2 linked regions of the Saccharomyces cerevisiae S288C genome follow. The protein of the gene in region 2 binds, or shares a complex with, the protein of the main gene of each other region. Each region holds a gene or a part of one and is shown on either strand. Other genes may lie near its edges.

What was found. The genes of interacting proteins can lie anywhere in the genome.
Region 1: RPL23A (region 2) and RPL9A share a complex: the UniProt entries of both Saccharomyces cerevisiae proteins name them as parts of the large ribosomal subunit.

The regions. Positions count from the first base shown.
Region 1 is NC_001139.9:227,254-230,204, reverse strand, and holds RPL9A (60S ribosomal protein uL6 RPL9A), read left to right. Parts: upstream 1-1,875; coding exon 1,876-2,451; downstream 2,452-2,951. Other genes in the region: RRT6 (Rrt6p), read left to right, coding at 519-1,454; bifunctional chorismate synthase/riboflavin reductase [NAD(P)H] ARO2, read right to left, coding at 2,676-2,951. UniProt on the Saccharomyces cerevisiae protein: Component of the ribosome, a large ribonucleoprotein complex responsible for the synthesis of proteins in the cell.
Region 2 is NC_001134.8:59,076-62,578, forward strand, and holds RPL23A (60S ribosomal protein uL14 RPL23A), read right to left. Parts: upstream 1,665-3,503; coding exon 1,623-1,664; intron 1,119-1,622; coding exon 747-1,118; downstream 1-746. Other genes in the region: DNA-binding protein kinase TEL1, read right to left, coding at 1-307; YBL086C (uncharacterized protein), read right to left, coding at 2,127-3,503. UniProt on the Saccharomyces cerevisiae protein: Component of the ribosome, a large ribonucleoprotein complex responsible for the synthesis of proteins in the cell.

The sequences.
Region 1 (2,951 bases), on a different chromosome or scaffold from region 2:
CTTAATATACAATTTCTTATCTACTTCTGCCTACAATTTTTAGGATTCATCTACTATTATTACACTATTGTTATACTATTGTATTTATATTGAAATATCAATAAAACAGGGCTCGTAGAAATGTAGAATTTTTACCTAATATTCTTCTTTCAGCCCTATTTAAGAACCCCGTTATATAATGCTATGCCCTACTGTATTTTACATATAACCCTGATTTTATGACTTCTCGATTTTGTACCCTCGGCCCGGCGACGGTAGCCAATGCCAGTAAAGTTAAGTTTAATAATGCATCATAATGTGGGGATGGGTAATGCTATTGCACCCTAAGTCGTTGATACTTCTTCAAAGGAAAAAAAAATACCGTGGTGAGGCTGTAGTTGTGTTCAAAATAAAATAAAAGCCGTACACTCTAGTAGTAAAAAGACTTTACTGAATCTTATGAAAAGTTTCTGGTTTTTGCCTCTCCTTACAGATTCTACCGTCTTTAAGGCCTAGTTTCTCTGTGTCATTGTGAAAACATGGAAAAAGCTTCCTTGAACATTGCTCAGACAAAGGAAATACCACTGACAGATAGGCGAATGGGGCTCCGAGGATGGAAGGCGTGCAGTAGGCCGCATTTACTAGGTCGAATATTGCTTTTCATGAGCATACTATTTATTACAAGTGCGGAATTAAGTAGCGACGTAAGCTCCAGAGAAGTATATATGCCGATATTCAATAATAAGCTGTCGTTCAAAGTGCCGCCTATTAAACGCTCGTTGCTGCTAGGAGCAGCCCTGTACGAAGATTTCGAATATAGCTCTAACAACAGTGCTTCTGACGGAGCGTTCTGTACCGTGTTTAATGCAGGCATGAATGACGCGTCTAGGGAGGTTGTTTTTGAAATCCATGTAATGGACGTGTTGCAAGAAGAAACAGACTCCAGCAGGTTCGGAGGAACCAGTCACGAGCGTGGGAGGCAATCACTGGGCTTCAGTGTTTTTAATAACAAGAATGGTGATTTGTTAAGAAGCAAGAAAAATCTAGCGAGCGGGACGTCGGTCATCGAAGTTAATCCTGGGAACTGTAATGAGTTCTTGATATGTTTCATAAATTTAGTCTATGACGGATCGTGGAGCTCGATTGATACTGAAAAATCTGTAACGATAAAGATGACCTACAATGATAAGCTCGATCCTGACATGTTGTTGCATTTGGTCAATCAAATGACACCGCAGGTGGTGAAAGCATTGAATACCGTCTCTGACGGCCTTTTCCAGATAGTGAGCGATACCACACTTCTTCAAATGGAAAGTGATAGGCGAGATATAAATGAGGCGACGTATAGTTATCTGATTGTGGGGTTTGTGTCGCTTATGGTAGCACAGCTGATATCCAATATTATAGTTACTACCTATTTGATTATTAAGATCAAAAGTAATCCTTCATCTCATATCAAAAAGAAAGGTTTGTAAAAGAGCATTGGGCAGAGAGTATTTGTCCTGCGTATAGAGGAGAAAAAATTGTACTGATGCTAATTTTGGTGTCGTTCTTCTTTTTTATTTTGTAAGACTGTTTTCCAGAAATGTTTGGGTTTATTTTTTAATTTTTTGAAACATTTTTTTCATCCTTTCTCATTTTGTCATTTCATTTTTCTGTGGAAAATTTCACTGACGCGAAGAAGCGATGAAATTTCCAACATCCTCCCATCATCCCAATATTGGCATACACACACATGCAGCACAGCGGAACTGCGGAGGTCAGAGGCAATGTGGCAGAGACGCTGGCGCGCCTGTATTGTATAATAGTATATTTTACACTCAATTCAATTTTTTGATATTAAATTAGTGTGTAAAAAGCTTCTGAAATCAAGAAGCCCGTACCAGAAGTTCAATCATGAAATACATCCAAACTGAACAACAAATCGAAGTCCCAGAAGGTGTCACTGTCAGCATCAAGTCCAGAATCGTCAAGGTTGTTGGTCCAAGAGGTACTTTGACCAAGAACTTGAAGCACATTGATGTTACCTTCACCAAGGTCAACAACCAATTGATCAAGGTTGCTGTTCACAACGGTGGCAGAAAGCACGTTGCTGCTTTGAGAACCGTCAAGTCTTTGGTTGACAACATGATCACTGGTGTCACCAAGGGTTACAAGTACAAGATGAGATACGTCTACGCGCATTTCCCAATCAACGTCAACATTGTTGAAAAGGATGGTGCCAAATTCATTGAAGTCAGAAACTTTTTGGGTGACAAGAAGATCAGAAACGTTCCAGTTAGAGATGGTGTTACTATCGAATTTTCCACCAACGTTAAGGACGAAATTGTCTTGTCAGGTAACTCTGTCGAAGACGTTTCCCAAAACGCTGCTGACTTGCAACAAATCTGTCGTGTCAGAAACAAGGATATCCGTAAATTTTTGGACGGTATCTACGTTTCTCACAAGGGTTTTATTACTGAAGATTTATAAGCTTTTTATTTGATTTTGTGACATTTTCTTTAAAGTAGCAGAAAAAATAATTACATATAAAAAACTTTGTATATCTAACATATAATATAATTGAACCGATACGAAAATAAAAGTACCGATAATATGTCAACTTTTTGTTTTTTGTTGCCGTTTTATTACGTGCACTAATACATATACATGCGTATATAAATATACATAACTCTTGAGGGGTTTTGTTTCTATCTTTAATGAACCACGGATCTGGAGAAATCTCTTGCCTTTTGGATCAAAAGCGCGTCAGCCAACACCAGAGCGGTCATGGCTTCCACAATAGGAATAGCTCTTGGAGTGACAGCAGGGTCATGTCTACCCTTAGCGGCTAAGATACCTTCTTCACCATCGTAAGTGGCGGTTTTTTGTTCTTGAGAGATAGTGGCCACTGACTTGAATGGGACAGAGAAATAGATGTTCTCACCATTAGAGATACCACCTTGTACACCACCTGAATTGTTGGTCTTTGT
Region 2 (3,503 bases):
TAAATCTCTCACATGATTTTTCTACAAATAATCTTAAAACGTACGATATCGTGGAGAGTCTGTTCTCACTAAGTGATAGCTTGTTTGTGGTTGACACTGTCAAGTTTCGAAGAAGGTCACAGTATTTTGTGTGTTCAGATGCAAGTAACTCTACCAAAGCTTCTGCCGTTGTAGATAGGGCCTTGGTTGGTATCCTTTCCGGATCTTCTTTTAAAATTGTTGTTAGCTCATCTAAAGCATTGTTTCTCTCTTTGATTTTTGTTGATGATAGAAAGTTTAAAGTTTCTACAATCCCATGATCCTCCATCGTCTATGTTACACTGATTTCCCTTTTTCTTTGAAGGCTTTTTTTTCGAATTTCCTGCTTTTTTTGCGAGGCTTTGAGAAGTCAATTAGTCTTGATTATTCTATTAACTTGGAACTAATTTACCTTGAAAAATGTCAAAATATGCATATTGTACGGCTGGTGCCATACTTGTTTCTCACTAGCAAAACATTCTATCATCTGTTATTCTTACCTTCTTAACGTGTCTGTTTGCTTTTTTGACGTACCCCAAAAAATATATAGACCCTCCTATCACGCTCATAATATCATGTGATTCTCTCGATGAACGATAATAGTAATATTTTCATCTAAAAATGCAATGAATTATTGAGTTTCTTTAATCTGTTTAAGAGATTGTTATTTATAAAGAAAATATATATAATTGAAGAATCTAAGAGTATGAGTCAAAATAATTTCCTTTTTACACAACAACACCGGAGTTAGATGCAACTCTTGGCCATAAATCGGCACATTCCTTACCGACTGGACCAGTGATGGCGGAACCCTTCATTTCACCCTTAGGATTAGCGATGACACCAGCATTGTCTTCGAAGTACAAAAAGACACCGTCTCTTCTTCTCCAAGACTTAGCTTGACGGACAACAATAGCTGGCATAACCTTCTTTCTCAATTCTGGCTTACCCTTCTTAACGGTGGCCATAACCATATCACCTAGAGAGGCGGCTGGCAATCTGTTCAATCTGGAACCAGAGCCTTTGACGGCGATAATGTACAAGTTTCTGGCACCACTGTTGTCAGCACAGTTCATGATGGCACCGACTGGTAGACCTAACTAGTTAAAAAAGATCTCAATATCGGGGAGTGAGAATAATTTTGTTAGTAAAAGCATAGGGAGAAAGTTAGCAGATGTGGTTAATCTTGAAAAATAGAGTTAAGCGTGATTTTTGTAGAAATAACATTTCGATGGTTATCCATTAGTATGGGCAAAAGAGGGAGTTAGGATATGCTTGCCGTGTATGATTTTGAAACCAGAAATTTTTGAGTCCATGAATATTGACAGGTATCACTTCATCTGCAAATACAGCCCGCTTAACCATTTAAAAACTGAATTTATGTGTGTAATTGCATCTTTGGCGGGGCGGTACCAGTGATGGCACATCTACCATTCTTATGGAAAATAACACCGATAGGTATATGATCAGGCTTCACACTTAGTGTTTAGCGTCTTTTAAACCTCTGTTTAATTCTGTTGTACCCAGCAAAATGAAATCTTGGAACTTTACTTTATGATCAATTTAACCAAATTGCATTGTGGAAAATAAAAATTTTAACATACTGAGATTCTAAACTTAGTACCTTGAGCACCGTTACCGGACATTATTAGTTATATATAGGTGTGTTGGTTTTGTATTGCTTGTAAGACCTAAGAGTCAAAATAAAGAAAGTAAGAGATTTTTAGCTACTAACCTTAGCAATACGATGGTATTACTATTAGCGGGAACAGGTACATTATGGCTACAGTTCGTTTCCTGCCATATTAATTTTTCAGCCCGAGCGTGTTTGGGTTTGATATTTTCTTTTTTACCTCTTTTTCAACATTTCCATGCAAGTCTGATGACGGTTGTACGGCTCGTTCTGTGAGCCGGATAAGCGATAAAAAAACTTGGTCTGTTGAAAATAATAACTGCATGGGTTTTTCAAAGCAGTTGGGGGTGTACAGATGTTAATGTAGTCTGATATATGCTCTGTCTTGTCTTTTTATCTGGGGGATCATTAACATGGTAATAGTGATTGGTATTGCAAGCTTAAGATTATAATTACATAAAACAATACAAATATTCTAGCCCGATGGGGTTATTATAGACCAGTTTTTGTTTTCTCTTATTCTATCTGTTAAAAAGTCCGTGGGGTTATTGTCTTCGACAGAGTTATTATCCTTGTCGCTCCCTTTATCATTAGCCGTATTTTCGTTATCCTCGTCATTATGAGTCCTCAGTTTTGCACGTTGTGCTCGTGACATATGACTCCAATTCTGCTTTTTCTCCAAATACTCTCTTTTGCCCATTGTGCTGTAGCCGTCATCGCTTGGATTTGGAGGCCAACTACTTGCCTTGTTCCCAAGGTTATTGCCATAATTTGGATTGTAGTACTCTTCTTCCATTTCGTTCAATCTCAATGCCTGTAAATCGATTAAATTTATGCCCTTCTCGTTCTTAGCCCAACCGTTTCCGCCTTGTAAAATATCTTCCACGCATTCTCTTGGCGTAAATTCACCTGGTCGAGGATCCCACGGTAATTTAAACGTTTTCTGGTACAAGCTCTCAATCAGTGGGCTCATAGAGGAAGATATTGTTGTTGACAGCCCTGGCTTTGTTGTCATTTCGCTACTCTTGTGGTTGGTAGAAGTCGGTGATTTAATACTTGTGCTGTTTCCTGTCGCATTTGTACCGGGTTTCGCTACAGTTGTTCCAATACCGTTAAAATTGGAGAATGTATTCTTGGGTGACATCTGGTTTGTTGTTGATGTGGGGCTAGATAGTTCAGACGTGTTATCCAGTATAGTATTTATTCCTGGCCTGTAATTAGCGAGCTGGCCATTAGTAAACGATTTGGAAATGTTGAAATCTTCGTAAGAGCCTCTAACTAGCTTCAACTGCAATGAGACGTTGATTATAGAATTGACCTTTGAGTGCTTTAGGAGAAATCTGTTTGTTGTGGGAGTTTCGTCTTCTTTGACGTATTCTGTTATATCTATGTCTACTGTTCCCAATAGAAGTTTACCCGTTATCTTTTGAGAATATGAATTGTTTCCTGTGGCCGTTAGTGCAGTGGCGTTAGCATAGGTCGTTTTCTTCACTTTGCCATTGGGACTAGAACTAGAAGTCAACGAGGAATTCGCATCAGCAAACTCAAAAAAAACATCCAACACCAAAATTTTCTTCAAGAATCTGCCGTTTTTATCCAAGTGGAGCTTCACCAGGATTGGTTTGTCTAATGAATAATTCCATTGTGCTCTATGATGTTGCACATGCACGTGTTTTGTTGTACCTCTACTCTGGGTCGAAGTGGTTTGATGCTCACCGTCCAGAGCCACTTTGTGTCCCGACGTACCTGTTCCATCCTTCAAACGCCATTTCGTGTAGCAATAGCCAGAAGATTGAGGAATATTTACCAATTCTTTGATTTGCAGGTCCAGTAGAAACTTTGGTCTTTTTGC